Linked DNA regions of Alligator mississippiensis. The protein of the gene in region 1 interacts with the protein of each later gene in a pairwise test. Links are inferred from orthologs where the notes say so. Each region holds a gene or a part of one and is shown on either strand. Other genes may lie near its edges. The genes, in order: TOX4 and FNDC3B.

Region 1 (8,180 bases):
CTGCCAGGAAGCATTACTGCTGGGAACGAGCTGAGGCAGATGCAAGTGGCTGGAGAGCACGGGGCCACCTCCTGCCAGCTGCTTTGGGACTCTTTGCCTCATGGTGCAGTCCATACTGGCAGGGGCAGAAGCACCAGGGACAGAAAAGCAGAGCCTGGCAGCAAAATGAAAACAGTGCTGTAGAAACGTTGCTTTCAAGAAACAACAGTATTGGATGTTAAGATGGACCGAGTAGCAGGAAGGTAGTTCAGCACTGGACCAGGACCCCTGCTGGGTGGTACAACCTCAGTCCTTGAGAGTTTGTAAGAACAGGTCAGATAGACAGCGGGCCAGGCTGGTCCAAACAGGGATGATTGTGCCTGGAGGTAGGGGTGGACCTGGATGCAGTGTCCGAGGAGCTCAGCTCCTGTATGCTTTAGCTTTTTCCAAGTGTAGGGATCTCAAACAAGAGCATCGGAGAAGTGCTAAAAACAAACAAACAAAAAAAAACAACCCCCCCCCCAAAATTATTTTTTTTTCCCCCTCCAGAAACTCAATGAACTGGCAAGGCTGTCCACTGAACTGCACTGACCCTCGGAGGTAGTCTGTCCCAGGAAAAACCACATCCCATTTCACTGCTGAAACAGGACCCCATGAACAAAGCCCGAACCCCAACTAAACAGTCACGGGCTTTTGGATACAAAGCTTTAGTCGAACTCTGCAAGTGTTAATTTTTCCTGCGTAACACTTTTGTATTTTTTTGCCACAATTCTACACTTCCAAGTTATTACTCCCCCTGGAAAAAAATTCTGAATAAGCATTAGAGAAAGTGCAACAAATGCTTTTCCTAAACAAAGTAGTTTAAAAAAAGTTTTGATTTTAATTTTTTGGGGGGTGGGGTGTCAAGTCAGGTCAGCCCTGCGGGCGCTGTGAGTGTTACATATACACATACACATTTCCTCTTAATTTTTCTTAGTGGTAAGTAAAAGGAAAATGGGGGGGGAGGGTGGGGGGAGGAGAGAAAAAAAAGGATAAAGAGTCAAATTTATTAAGACTGCTTCTCCCCCCGTCCCCCTTCCCCACAACACCTCTCCTTTGTGGAACAGAATGTAAAAACATGAGCAAAATTAGAGGTCCTTCCTACATCACGGTTTTGAACTTCCTAAAACTTTGCCGTAGGAAAAAGTATGTCTACAAGTGAATAAATAAACCTGAGAATGTTAACGTTTATTTCCAAACTAAAAAACAAACAGCAGCTGTTTAGCCTCAAAAAAGGGAAAACCTTCCCCCCCCCCACCATCCCCCCAAATCACATCAAAGTTTTTCAGAAGGAAATGTTAGTTCAGAGAACCAAGGTTCATTTGACAAGACTCAATTCTAGGTGGTTAAACTGCCCATGGCTGGGGCTGAAACCCTTGCTGCTATGGCCAATGCCTGCATTGAGGTAACACCCAAGGCTGCTGTCAGCTACAGCTCCATCATGCCAGATACTGAACAGAAGTGCATAGCTACTCTCCTTTCTGCCCCCAAGCAACTCACCAGCCAAGGTCTATTCATAAGACAGTCACATTGGGCAAAACCCAAGATGAACTCAGCCTAGACACAAACCCAGATCAGAGCCCACGGAGGGGCCTGTTCTAGGTGCAGAGATTGGTGACCTTGAATGCAGGAGGAACAAAGAGGAGGTACGAGCAAAGAACAGCTACCCAGGGGGTAACAGCACTTACCTGAACACCCAAGACAGCAGGTTCCAGTCCACTGGCCACAAATAAGGATCTGCCTGGGGACTGGCAGGTTCTCAAGGATTGGAGGAGAAAGGGGCTGGCCCAGTCCTGGTCCCCATCTGACAGGGGCAGCAAAGGAAGGACAGCCACAGGGAGCAGAGGGGACTGTGTGAGCAAAGCCACCCTCCATGAGCCAAGCACTGGCCTAACCCAGAAACCCTTCCCAGCCCTGGCCCCCATGGATGAGTTGCCTCAAGGGGGTTAAAGGCAACAGTGACCCCAACTCTTAGCCTCCCAGCTGGACAGCTCTTTGCTGGCCCCCTCAGAGGAGCCAGGCAGCAGCTTTGGGCATCACAAGGAGCTCAGAGGGGTTATCTGTGACCCATGAGCCACGTTCACCGAGGTTGGGATTCCTCAGTGTCCACAGGGCCTGGGCGCCGTGGGCAGCCCTACCAGTGCTGTCACACAATCCCATTTGGGGGCCTGCAGAGCCATGGGCCTGGTGCTGCTTCAGCTGCTTCCAAAAGGGGCTAGGAGCTGCCCAAGAGGCATAAATCACTTAGCAACTAGGAGCATGGAGCTGGACTCCCCTTGGAGACCACAAAAGCACCCACCCAGCATGAAAGGGATGCTGATAAGAAAGTCATTCCTTCTCTAGGAGCAGGACAGGAAATAGGGCTCCTGGGTTGTATCCTGGGCTCCAGCAAGGGGCTGGGGCCTAGCAGACCTGATTGGGGAGGGATCTGGGAGCCAAGACATTCCCAGGTTACTCCCAGACACTCACTGCAGCAGCTTCCCCAGTCCCTCCACCCCCATGGAGAGCAACACATGGGGAGAGCCGAACACATGCAGACATTTAATAACAGGAGAAACCACAGAGAGCAAGTACAGTATAAAAGCTGACATGGGTGCAGGGAGGGGCCGGGCACCTGGCCAGGACCCTGCAGGACACAGGGGACCCAGCCAGACCCAACTGGGTCCCAGGCAGTAAGAGAGACAGCCGGGGGGGGGTGGAAGGCACTGACAAGGGGAGGCCCTAGCCCTGGGCTCTGTCCCGTCGGCAACCCACAGCCAGCCAGGAGGAATGTGTGGTTGAGGCAGAGCCCAAAGTCTCCCCCAGGCACAGGCTAAGGGGTGCCTGGTCCTTGCCCCTTTTTTCAGGGCCCAGATGGGGGGGGTTGCTGAGACATGGGGGAGGGGGGGAAATTACCCAGCCCAGCCACCCCCTACAGTCCCCCACCCCTTGGCTCAGCCACGAGGAGCTGTCTCCCTTGCCAGGGGCTAGAGCGAGCTGGTCCTGGCCCCAGAGGCTCAACAGCAGCCTGAGCTGTCCCCGGAGCCCTGGGGGCCATGGCGAGAGCCAGCACCAGGAGCCACTCCCGAAGGCTGCTGGGGACCAATCTTGATGCCATTTGCCTGGAAGAGAACAAGGAAGAGGGTGGGAGAGAGCATTAATAGGGGCATAGCAATCAATAAAACTAGGCTGCCCAAGGTAGGTGCCAGGCCCAGATAAATCAGCCAACCCTTATGGAAAGGGACCCAAGTGTTAAGGACAGCAGCATACCTTGCTCACCCCCACAAGGCCCCACCATGGAAGGAAGAATGGGATCCAGGTGTTCCGGACTGGATTCCTAACTCACCTCATTGTTCACGTCAAACAGCCCCTGCTGGATCTTCCTGTAGATCTCTTTGGCCGTGTCAATAAAGGCCTGAAAGAAGGCAGCCCAGGGTGAAGCGGAGGTGGATGGGGGAAGTTAAGGGTTAGTGGCCCCACTCCTTCCGGGACCCCATTTGTCAAGGGTTTGGGGTGCTCTAGGATTTGGATGGTCCACATCCCCACCTGGGCTCAGCCAAGACCCGCTCCTTTGCGAGAGGTGCGGAAGAGCACCTCCTCACCCCCCCTCCCCACAACCCCAGTCACCTCCTCAACGTTGGTAGCTGTCTTGGCAGAGGTCTCCATGAAGACCAGCCCGTGCTCCCGTGCAAAGGCCTCGCCCTCCTCCTTCCGCACGTCCCGCCGTGACTCCAAATCGCTGCAGACGCATGCAGGGAGGAGGGGGAAGCATCATGGCCAGGACCCATCTGGGACCCCATACCCACCCAAAGGCCAGCTTAAGTCCCACCGCACATCTGTGAGGCCTGCATCCAGGGCGACATCCAGAGGGTCTTCTTACGGCCACCACCTTCGGGCCTCTCCCTTTTATACCCAAACCCCTGCATCCTATAACCAGCAGCCTCCCTGTAGGCTCCGCCCCTCCTAGCCCCCCACTGCCTCAGGGGTCCCCCCACCCCTCCCCGCCTGTCACCTCTTGTTGCCGATGAGCATGATCACCATGTTGGAGCTGGAGTGCTGCCGGGCATCCTCCAGCCATGAAGTCAGGTGGTTGAAGGTCTCGCGCCTGGGTGGGGGCTGCCATGAGAAGGGGGCGGCGGCAGCACCAGGGCTCCCCCAGGAAGGGAAGGAGGTGCAGGGGGAAGCCTTCCCACCCCAGGAGCCGGGCCTCACCTGGTGATGTCGTAGACCAGCAGAGCCCCAGCCGCCCCCCGGTAGTAGGAGCGCGTGATGGAGCGAAAGGACTCCTGCCCGGCCTGCGGGGCGCAGGGGCAGAGGGGTCAGGGATCTCGTTCGTGGCTCTGGCTTGACCCAGCGCTGCTTAATCCCGCCGGGCGGCCCCGCTCCCCCCCACACCCCACGGACTCGAACACTGGCCACCCCCGCAGCCCGGCTCACTGTGTCCCAGATCTGCAGCTTGATTTGCTTGTTGTCAATGTTGATCATCCGCGCCCCGAACTCCACACCTGCAGGGCCAGGCTCCGTCAGCACCCCCGGCCTGGACACCCCTCCTGTCCCCCCACAGCACCCTGACTTCATCCCCTCCCCCACCCGCCTACAGCCCCACAACCCCCCTATCCCCCATCACCGATGGTGAGGTCGTGCACGGGCTGGAAGCGCTTGTCCGTGAACTGCAGCAGCAAGCAGGACTTGCCGACGCCTGCAGGCAGCGAGCGGAGTCAGGGCTGGGCCCGGGGTCGGAGCCGCCGCTGCCCGCTCCCGGCCCCGGGCCCCCGCCCCGTACCGGTGTCCCCGATGATAATGTACTTGAAGAGATAGGTGTAAGACATGATGCCCCGGTCCGATGCGGTCCTCCCAGGGCCGCTCTACCCCCCGACTCAGCTTCACTTCCGGGGAGACGCTCTAGCCCAGCCGCAGCCTCCTGGCGCCTTTACTGCTCCGCGGCCCACACTTCCGGTGCCATTCTACCCGCCTCCTGGGGCCGCGCTGGCCGCCTGGAGGCCTCCCTCTCTACTCCTCCTACGGGCGATTCTGGGGGGGTGGCTACATTCAGCTTCCCCTTAGGGCCTAGAGTTCGAGCCCGAGTTTGGAGGGGAGGCGGAAGTGACGCACGAAGGGGGATTTCCGGTTCCTTCCTTAGGACTCGGAGGGGGTGGGGGAGGCGGTGCTTGGCGATCGGTCGGGACGCGGCCATGGAGGTGCCGGGGCCGGGAGCACGGGGGTGGGGGTGGGGGTGGAGGAGGGGAGCACAGGTGTGGGGGTGGGGAGGGGGAGAGGGTCCGTGCCCCGCCCGGTGAAGCCCGTCACGTATCCCTGCTTCCTCCCCAGTTCCCGGGCGGGAGCGACAACTACCTGGCCATCACGGGCGCCACGCACCCCTTCCTGACGGGCGCCGAGGTGAGGGGGGAGCCGGGGCGGGGAGGGTGGCGGGTGCGGGGTGCCCGGCGCGGGCTCACGGTCCCGTCCCCGTCCCCGCAGACCTTCCACACGCCGAGCCTGGGCGACGAGGAGTTCGAGATCCCGCCCATCGCGCTGGACGCGGACCCGTCGCTGGCCGTGGCGGACGTGGTGGGGCACTTCGACGACCTGGGCGACCCCGGCGGCGCCCCTGACGCCAGCTTCTCCGCCCAGTACGGCGTGCAAGCCCTGGACATGCCCGTGGCCATGAGCCACGGCCTCATGGAGCAGGGCGGCGGGCTGCTGCCCGGGGGGCTGTCCATGGTAAGTGCGTGCTGGGGGGCCGCCCGGGCCGGGCGCGCAGGGCAGGGAGCGGTGCTGCTGGCGGTGGTGCCGGCCGGCCCCCCCCCAGCCTGCGCCGTGTGCCCCCAGGACCTGGAGCACTCCATGGGCGCGCAGTACAACGCCAACCCGCCCGTCACCATCGACGTGCCCATGAACGCCATGAGCCCGGGCAGCCTCATGGGACACGGGCAGCTCACCACCATCGACCAGTCGGAGCTGAGCTCCCAGCTCGGCCTCAGCCTGGGGGGCAGCGCCATTCTGCCCCCGGCCGCCGCTCCTTCTGCCACCGCCGCTGCCGCCGCCGCCGCCGCTGCCGCCGCCCCGGCTGTGGCCCCCGCCACGGCGGCGTCACCTGAGGAGCGGATGTCCACCACGCCTTCCCCCACCAGCTCGCTGCAGGAGGAGGAAGCTGAGGAGTTCAGACGGGTGAGAGCCTGACTCCTGCGTTGCTCGGGTAGTTGATTCCCACTTCTTCCCCCCTCCCCTTGCTTTGCGTCCGTAGCCCGCTGAGGTCACGCCTGCCGCGTTCGGTCGCTGCCCCGTCAGCAGGAGCTGGGGCCGAGGCCGCCGGCGGTTCCGTGTTTGTTGGCAAGAAGTGGCCACATGCTCCTGCCCGGCCCTGTTGCGCTTTCCAGCTGTGCCTCGCGGCCTCTAGTCGTCCCAGTCGCAGGCTACCTCTTGCTGATACCCGAGAACAGCTCCGCCACGGATGGGCAAACCTCTGTCTCCAGCCTGCAGTTTGACCGTGCCCCCTCTTCTCGCCCCCACAGCAGGCCCCGGCCCAGAAGGCGACGCTGGTGCTGGACGCGGGGCGGAAGCCGAAGCCGGCTAAGAAGCAGAAGAAGAAGAAGGACCCGAACGAGCCGCAGAAGCCGGTGTCGGCCTACGCGCTCTTCTTCCGTGACACGCAGGCCGCCATTAAGGGGCAGAACCCCAACGCCACTTTTGGGGAGGTCTCCAAGATCGTGGCGTCCATGTGGGACAGCCTGGGCGAGGAGCAGAAGCAGGTGGGCATGGCTGGGAGGGCACGGGGCAGGGGGAACAGAAGCTGGTGGGGGGGAATGAGAGCAGGGCTGGGGCTTGCTGCTGACCTAGTCCTCCCTCCCCCAAGGTTTACAAGCGGAAGACAGAGGCGGCCAAGAAGGAGTACCTGAAGGCATTGGCAGCCTACCGAGCCATCCAGGTGTGTCAGGTAAGGGGGCTGGGCCTCTGCCAGCTGGCCGGGGCTCAGCTCTCTTGTCCGCGGGTGCGCCAGGGTCTTGCGTATCTGTTTGTACGTCTTTCTCATCCCCCATTCTCTCTCCGTGCAGACGCTGGAAACAGAGCTGGACCCCAGCCCAACGCCACCCTCTCCTGCCTCCCAGTCCGTGCAGACGTCTACTCCCGCTGCTTCCTTGACTGCTGCCCTGGCCCCCTCACCTGCACAGGAGACCCCGCTTACGGCCACGCCAACTGCCACCGTCTCTGGGGGCATCTCCTCGCCAACTCCACAGCCTGCCCCAGCTGTCCCCACGCCTGCTCCCCAGACCAGCATCACGAAGATCATAATTCCCAAGCAGATGCTGCCGTCCTCACTGGCTGTGTCCCAGGGTGGCGTGGTCACGGTCATCCCCGCCACTGTGGTGACCTCCCGTGGGCTGCAGCTTGGCACCGGCACCACCCAGATCGTCACTCGCTCCGTGCTGCAGGCGGCAGCTGCTGCAGCTGCGGCTGCCTCCTCCATGCAGCTGCCCAGACTGCAGCCCCCACCCCTTCAGCAGATGCCCCCACCCCAGCCCCCCACGCAGCAGGTGGCCGTGCTGCAGCCCCCACCACCCCTGCAGGCCATGCAGCAGCCCCCGCTGCAGCAGAAGGTGCGGCTCAACCTACAGCAGCAGCCCCCACCGCTGCAGATCAAGATCCTGCCCCCACCTGCCCTGCAGATCCAGCCCGTCACCCTGCAGGCTGAGGAGGCCAGCCCTGAGCGGCCCAGTCCTGAGCTCCAGGGTTCCCCTGAGCCCATGGAGATGGTTACTGCTGATGTGGTGCCTGAGGTGAGTACATGGCTGGGTGTGGGGAGCTGGGTCCTGACTCCTGGTCTGTTGTCAGAGGCTGAGAACCAGCGAGCTTACGGCCTTGTCTGTGTCCAGAAGTTGGAGCAGACACAGGGTACAGTTGGGCATAACCTTTCCCTGATCCCCCTCCCACCTGCAGGTTGAGTCCCCAACGCAGATGGCTGTGGAGCTGGTGACCGGGTCCCCAATGGCCGAGTCACCGCGGCCACGCTGTGTGCGCTCGGGCTGCGAGAACCCACCTGTGGCCAGCAGCGACTGGGACAACGAGTACTGCAGCAGTGAGTGCGTCGTCAAGCACTGCCGGTGAGCGGGGGTGGAGACGGGGTTGCGGGGAAGTCCGGGCGTGCCTCGCTACAGCTAGGTTCAGCTTTGCTCGGACCCTCCCCA
Region 2 (7,814 bases), about 72 Mb from region 1:
AGCATGTCTCTCGTCCTGATATGTGGGTCGTTGTCTAGGAAGCCGAAGCATGCCTCGAGACACCATTCCCGAAGCCACAAGTTGACCTCTCTGATGCAGGTCTCGTGTCATCTTCCAAGTCCGCTCACTGGTAGGACAGAAAAAAATACCACCTGTGCCCCTATCTCCTTCAGCATGCCCCCCAGAGCATGGTAGTCCATCATCAGGTGATCAGGGCTTCTCCTGGCCGCATCATTAGTGCTCACATGGATTAGGACCACGGGGTAGTAATCAGTGGGCTGAATCGTGGCCTGGATCATCCCCGTCACATCCTGAATCTTTGTCCCGGGCAGGCAGATCTATTCTCCTTCCATAATGAGCTATCTATTCTTGGCCAGGAATTAGTCTGCAAGACCCAAATACATAACTCAAAGCAACCTGACTTAGAAAGTCTACATGCTTTAGGTCTGCAGCAAAATATAAACCGTTTTTCCTGATTTCAGATTTCATGTCTTATTTTAGCAACTGCTTATTTTCTGTTGAAAAACATGTTTGACACAAAATGCCAATTTTGAACAAGTCTCTTTTAGATTAAATATTTTCTTTTGGTGAATAACTAAAAAATATGTATTATTTCTGATCAGCGAAAACTGAAAAAAAGGAGCTGATTAGGCAAAAACTAGATTCTACTGAAAAATAGCGCTTGACAAGTGTTGCCACCTTCTAGTTTAAGTGCATAAGATTCCAGGAATCAGTTTTAAAAACTGTAAATCCTCCAGTGGTGTGACAAACAAAACAATATTTAAAGGTGAAATATAGCCTTGTCATGGAAAGTTTCTTACCTTACAGGTCAGAAAAAGGTGAACCAAAGCGTAGCAAGAAGGGTTCAAGGAATGTCTCTCTTTCTTCCTCTCTCACAGGCCTGGTGAGGAAGTTACAAAGTTGAATTCCTCTTTCCAAGTCCAGAGGCTGAGGAAAGAGTAGCTAGCAAATAGTTCTTATTTTATTTTATTTTATTTTATTTTCTCCAGGAGCCAAAGAAAATCATTCACCTTTTTTTTCAAGTTCAAGAAAGGCCACCTTTTACCCAACCTTTTATTACTTTGGGTGTCTTATTAGGAGCACTGAAATAAAGAAAAGAAAATCTTGGGTAGTGGAAACAGTGGATGGGCCGTCCATGAGAATTCCTTCTCTCCTCTCCCCCTTTGGAGCTCAGGGGAGTAAATTGGGTGTGTATCATGTTCTCATCCTTCCCACAATGTAGAGGTGAGGTAAGGAAATCATGGAAGGGAGGGTTTCCATTTTCTGCAGTGAAGAAATCTTATGGGAGTAAATTATTCTTTCATTTCTGGAGATAGAGATGTTTTTCCCTACAATCCTGACTCTAGGGGCTGTAAGGGTTCCCCTTCAATTCTAGTATGATATTTTTTTCTGTTCCTTATATTCCATAAGGACCAGGGAGTCTCCCTCCCCCAGATAGTGAGAGAGTGGTTTTTCACATCCTCCTTCCTTGTTCCCATTGCCTAATGGAAACTAGTCTTACCCTTCCTTTTATTTCTAGATCACCTTCAGTTGCTTTATGTCACTTGTCAACTTTGGAGAACCTATGGGAATTATTTTTTCTCTCCTTCTGTCATCCTCAGTGAATGCTTATCAAACATCACGAGTCAGAGGGTTATGTTGCCCCTGCTGCTATTATTAATTAGTTTGATTAGGCAAATGCACACACTTTCATGGTTTTCCAGGCTCCAGTAGTGAGTTGAACTAGAGAAGCTAACCTCAGTGCCTCACCAGCTATGTAGAGTTTTTGATCTACCCTGATCAATCTTTTTCTTCTACTTTTCCTCCTGCTTCCCACTCCTCTCTCACACCCTTCAGTCTCTATCCCCACCCTAGCACCTTCATTTCCACTGCTCCAGTATCTGCTCTCACCTTTCTAGCCAGCTGGCAGAATGTGAGAAAGCTTTCTTCTAGAGAAAGCTATAATGAAGAAAATATAAAGCAAGTAAGAAAAGAATGGGAGAGATGGCAATGCTGGTGTTTTAAGTAATCAAGGGCCCAATTATATTCCAAATGCAACTAAGAAGACTACATCGAACTTGGTTGCAGATTGTAGTGTAAATGGGTCCTAGTCTTGCTTCAAGGTTTTCTAATTGTTAGACTAAAGTCCTAGAAGAAATTCCTGTCTTCTGCTACACAACTTTCCTGGCTACTTGACTGACTGTTTAGAGGTAAAGGACTGAGTGTGGTTCCCTTTGAGTCTGTGCCAAATACCTGCACAGGAAAACAAACTTTTCTTCCATCCCACTGCAAAGGTACTGCACAGCGACAGGTCCAGGTCCTGGGAAGAAGGGCAGTGCTGCCCTATACAGTAGGGCAGCGGTTCCCAAACTCTGACACACTGCGCATCACTGATTTAAAATGATACAACCTTAAGTACTAGGGGTGTGCAAAATGGCACTGTTCCATTTTGACTTGCGTTTCAAGGTTTTGATGGAACAGCATTTCATTTCAAATTTTGTTTCGATTCGAAACAGCTGTTCCGTTTAGTTTCATCAAAACAGTGACGTTGTTTTTATGCTTTACCCATAGGCTATAATGGGGAAGCTCAAAACAGCCTTCCTCATCCAGCAGGCAGATCGGGGCCCAAACCCGGGAGGGCTGTGGGGGCTGTGCCAGTCTTCCTAGGGTTGCGGGCCCCCATCTGCCTGCCAGATGAGGGAGGGATGCTGCCTGGGACCGGGGAGCTGGGAGGGGAACTGAGCGATTGGGCTCAGTTCCCCTCCCAGGCGCTGGGATCGATCAGGGAAGGGAACTGGGGCTGAGCTGAGTGCTACCATCAGGCTGGGGAAAGGAACTCAGCCCAGCTGAGCTGAGTTCCCCCCTTTAGCTCCATCATCCTGCTGGGGAGGGGAACTCAGCTCAGCTGGGCTGTGTTGCCTTCCCCAGTCCAATCCTCCCTCTGGGGAGGAGAACCGAGTGATCAGGCTCAGTTCCCTTCCCTTCCCCTGTGCTGCGATTGGCTTCCTGCAGCCACGCTGCAGGAGGCAGGGAGAGCCAGGGCTGCGCTCCCCGCCTGGCTGAGCCTGGAGCTGCTGGGAGCACAGCCCTGGCTCTCCTCTGTCTCCCACCACCTGGCTGCTTTGAAACTCAAAACGTTTTGAAAGTTTCGAAACGTTTTGACTAGCCTCTTTTTGTTTCAAGGCTGTTTCGAAGCCCTTTGTTCTATTTTGATTTTATGCGGGTTCTGTATGTGCAAATTCACTCCTATGAGATAACCCATTTTATACCAAAAATGTGTTATATGCGAGGTAAATTCACTCTTATGAGAGGAGTGTGGTGGAAGCTGGCAGTCAGCTGCTTTGTGTGGTGCATTGTGGGAGTGATGTGTGCCAAAATATAGTCTCCTGTGTGGATCTGTGCTCCTTGCTCATTGTCTGCGACATGTTTCTGTAGTTGCCATCCCCACTGTGGCTTCTAAGCGTCCCGCTAGCTTATCTCCTACCCCTCTCTCTGGTCCCTCAATGAAGTGCAGGAGATCTTCACTAACATTGGAGACAAAACTGGAGACCCTTCACCACCTCTCTTCATACCAACTAAACATTCACCACCACCCTGTGCTTGTGTGCACTGTCTGCTGTTGGTGAGTACCAAAATTGTCTTATAAAAGTGGTAGAAATGGGACTGGGCGTCGGTACGGTCAAGGTCTTGGAACGTATCCCCTATTTGTTACATTGCAAAGTGGGGTCCCTTTATGTGAATTCGAGTTACGCACCGTTTTCGAGGACCACACGTACAGCATAAAGTGAGGGGAACCTGTACCCTTCAGAGCAAAGAAGGGCCTGGCAAGCTCCTGTAGGCGGCCATGTCAGCGGCAGGGGCATGGCGGTGGTGAGCTCCTGCCGACGGCCACGACGGTGTTGGCAGTGGGTGCTGAGCACTGAAAAATAGAGGACATCAAGGCCTTCAGTAGAGGACAGAGAACCAGAAAACTGGACTGTCCTCTATAAAACCCAATGAATGGCCACCCTACGGGCGAACCAGGTGGCCACCCAGAGGAGGGGCTGAAAATGGCAATTTTAAAATTATTATTAGTAGGATTATCTCTGGCAAAGGGCAGGGGGGGCGATACTAAAAGTTTGCCCAGGGCTGCCAGGAGTCTAGGTTTGAGCCTACAGGGATTGCTTTGCCGGTGCCCTCCTGCCACGAACGGGGGTGCTTCCAGCGGCGGTTATAAGTGGGGGAGCTCCTGGTCAGCAGCGGCAGGGAGAGGGTGGCGAGCGCTCACCTTGGGTCGGCGACCACCTGCCGTGGGCACTGTGGACCGCAGCGAGGTGGCGCCGTTTTGCAGGGGGTGGCTCAGGGGGCGCACGTGCCCTACACCTCGCCCCTGCCTCCTGCCCAAGGCCGGCCTCTTTCCTCCCCTTTGCTTTTGGCCACCATGTAGTCACTCCAAGACGAGGTGTCGCACATCTGCCCTGCTAGGCCCTCTCCCCAGGCCGCGGCGGGATGCGGCGGGCACAGGAGGGGGCGGGGCGAGGCGGGGCGGGGCCGGGAGGAGGGGGAGGAGGCGGCGGCCCCGCCCCCGGCGGCGTTTGCAGGGAGCGGCTACTCCAGACTGCGCGGTAGCGGTAGCCGTCGCCGTAGCGGTCGTGGTAGCGGTAGTGCGGCCGCCCCCGCCCCATGTGGTCCCGACATCACTGACATGGCGGAGTCCCCGGCACGGCCGCCCGGCAGCGCCTCCGGCTAGAGCTCGCCGCCGCCACCAACATCAGCACCAACACCGCCCGCCGCCCCGGCCGCGCCCAGGTAAGCGCCGCGGCTGCACCCGGGCGGGAAAGTTTCCGTGCGCGGCTCCCTGAGGCGGCGGCGGAGCCGGGCCGGGCCGGGAGCGCCTCCAGCAGAGCCCGGCCAGCCCGCCAGGCTCCGCCGCCTCACGCTCCCCGCCGGCCCGGCCCGGCCCCGCCCCGCCCCGCTCCGCCCCGGGGCAGCGCGGGCTCGGCGCCCACACGGACACGGACACGGGCCCGGCGCGGCCTCCCTCCCTCTCTCCCTCCCGCGCACCCACCGTCGTGGCACGGCCGGCAAGCGGGTCCTCGTCCCCTCCGCGCGTGTGGAGGGCGAGGGCGGGAGCGGGGAGAGGTGCGCGGGTTTCTTCAGGGGCTTTAAGCGGTGCGACGGGAAGCCTGGGATGGAGGGTTTCTGTAGATGTAACTTTCTCGATATTTTATTTGTAAAAATTCACGCTTCGTTTGTTGGGAGGCCTCGGTGCGAATCGAGGTCTGTCTCGTATCACGCGTGAGAGAGGTCCAACTTTTTTAAAGAAGGGATTTGAAAGCTAGATGACTTTCTCTCTGCCGCATCCCATTTCCCGGTAACGTGCCACCTTTTTTTTTCAAGGTGTGTGGCGGGGGAGATGCATGCCGCGCTTGCAGGGTGTTTCTAGCGGAGGGCGGCTGGCGCTCTTTGCTGCTGGGGGCAGGGGCTGCACTCGGTGACCGGCTGAGGTCCTTTCCCATCCGAACATCTGTGAATCGATGGAAGTGGCATCGTGTGGGGCGGATGGGATCACGGAGACCGGTCGCCTGTGTGTCTTTTTTTTTTTTTTCCTTGTGTGCGTCTAGGTAGATATATAGATGAGGAGGTATATAACTTCTTTGTTTTAAATCCTCTTCTCTTTCATGCTCAGCTGAACATCCTCCTGCCTTCTTCTCCCAAAATAAGGTTTTGGCTCACGTTTATGTGGTTTGGGATTTAAAGGAAGGAACAATTCATCCCATCCACATATGAGGATTTTTTCCCCCTTAATTTTCCACACAGGCACAGTTCTGTGCTGTGCATTAGTATCTTTTCCGTGAGGGTCAGAAATTGCATGAAGACAGGGGAAGAGTAGGTCCATCTCTCTTTTTTTTTATGGGGAAACTGAGGCATAAAAACTTATCAAGTAACTTTTCCCTAGTTGACACAGAGACTCGGTGACAGAGTTGGCAATGGAGTTCAGATTTTCCACTGAACCTCATCACTTGTTTGCCCTGTGGTGGAGCACATCCTGACCAGGACTCACCAATACATGTTTAAAAAGTGTTAAGCTTGTCTAACGTGAGCCTCACAACATGTTCACTACCAGATTTTTAAACATGCCCTATTTGTCTTAGTCTAGACATGAGCAGTACGTATGAATGCTAACTGGAAACCTTCCTGGGAAGACGAACGCTGTTCCTGCTGTCGTTTCCCGTATCTCTTAGCAGTAGATAAGATGGAGTGACTCTTACTTGTAGTCTTGGAAGCATTCGCTGCCCCTCGCCTGCTCCCTCCTTACTGTCCCTAGGCTGTAAGATGGGAATTTGTGAGGAAGTTTGCTGCTGGTGTTGCCCCAAGAGGAAGATGGGTCTTGGCAAAATTCCCAGGGTTATTTGTGGTCTTACTGGAGCAGCCTGTCAGCGTCCTTCAAGTCTACAGTGCCTTGTGGTTCTCCCTCATAAATTTTCAAGTGACTAGGTTTTGGTGATTATACTGGGGACCTTACAGTAGTGACAAAGGGTTCTGCTTCCCCTTAAGTGCTATCTATCATTCATTACACTTTGGTTGGCTTACATTCCTAGTGTAGCCCAGGGGTGAGTGTGCATGGAAGCCGACTCATTTTCCATTTTTGAAGTGTCTGGACTCATCTGGTTTGGTCTGAGGTCATTGCTGGGACAATGGAGAGATTTTCACACTATTATCCTACCCCATCCCTAGCCTGAAGATAAATGAAGAATGTCAGCTTCCGAAACAGACTGCTAGTCTGTTGTATCCAAGAAGCGTGAGGTTACAGCCTCATTGCATCTCTTATGCATATTTATTCTTAGGGAAACTGTTATGAAGTTTTCAGTATGAAATGACTGTACTCTGGTTCCTTTTTTTAAAAGAAGACTTAGGAAATAGTAGTTTCCTAGCGTTTTTCAATTAGACTGCACGCAGGAACTTTGTGCACATTCTTTTTTCATAATAATATGTAATTTACATTAATCCATTCCCTTCATAGGCTTAATGAAAATCTCTAAAGAAAGGAATGGGGTTTTGTAAGTTGTATAAGTCTTTCCTCTCTCTCTCCCCTTTCTAAATTCATGGAATTCATATGCAGACCAAAAAATGTTTTGTTTTTTTTTTTGGTTGGTTATTTTTGGTCTGCGTGTCTAGTTTCATTTAGGACTGTTCAGTTAAATTGGCTTTCTTTCCAGAAACCTAGGTCCTAATCCTGTATGTAAACACACATTTGTTGTATAAAGGTCTCTTTATAAATTATTCATAATTACAAAAATTTGGGGTCATGTATACTGAATGCATCAAAGGACTTTCCCAACTGTTTCTCAGTACAGTTACCTACTCCTCCTACCCAGGCAGAAGCTGTTGAATAGTTATTGATCTGTGACAGCAGTATAAGGACCACCAAATTCAGGCTTATTTGGATGAGCAGGGGGAATTATTTCCAATGCTGAGGATCCTTCAGAATTGGGGCATTGCATTGGGAGACTGCATGCCAGAAGGTCATAATTGTTTGGTGGCACACTTTGCACGTGATTTAAGTCTTTTTTCTTTTTTAAATAAAAGGAATTTAAATCTGCAGCTAATGTAGTAGAGGACGTCAGAACACCTAAAAGTTGCATTTCTGAGGCATAAAATACCATAGAACCGAAAGGTTTTTTTAAAACCAGCAGTTAACTTGATTATAATTGGTCTTCCCTACACTACCAAGGCACTACTGTGGGGAATCCTTTTAAAGAAGGATATCAAAAGTAGGGTTGTTTACGGCCAAGGTTTAGTGTCACTGTGTGATATGTCCCTGGAGACAGAAG

What was found.
Region 2: the proteins of TOX4 (region 1) and FNDC3B interact in binary tests that used the Homo sapiens proteins (3 or more experiments, as listed by UniProt). The two-hybrid records come from large-scale screens. The link is inferred for Alligator mississippiensis from reciprocal best matches to the Homo sapiens genes TOX4 and FNDC3B.

What each region holds. Positions count from the first base shown.
Region 1 is NC_081830.1:3,887,806-3,895,985, forward strand, and holds the start of TOX4 (TOX high mobility group box family member 4), read left to right. Parts: upstream 1-5,112; 5' UTR 5,113-5,189; coding exon 5,190-5,195; intron 5,196-5,325; coding exon 5,326-5,394; intron 5,395-5,475; coding exon 5,476-5,718; intron 5,719-5,826; coding exon 5,827-6,165; intron 6,166-6,509; coding exon 6,510-6,746; intron 6,747-6,850; coding exon 6,851-6,931; intron 6,932-7,049; coding exon 7,050-7,772; intron 7,773-7,932; coding exon 7,933-8,096; intron 8,097-8,180. Other genes in the region: RAB2B (ras-related protein Rab-2B), read right to left, coding at 3,015-3,119, 3,344-3,412, 3,625-3,736, 4,010-4,102, 4,210-4,292, 4,435-4,502, 4,625-4,696, 4,781-4,826. UniProt on the Homo sapiens protein: Transcription factor that modulates cell fate reprogramming from the somatic state to the pluripotent and neuronal fate. In liver, controls the expression of hormone-regulated gluconeogenic genes such as G6PC1 and PCK1.
Region 2 is NC_081830.1:75,858,445-75,866,258, forward strand, and holds the start of FNDC3B (fibronectin type III domain-containing protein 3B), read left to right. Parts: upstream 1-4,643; 5' UTR 4,644-4,788; intron 4,789-5,023; exon of another isoform or gene 5,024-5,121; intron 5,122-7,814. UniProt on the Homo sapiens protein: May be a positive regulator of adipogenesis.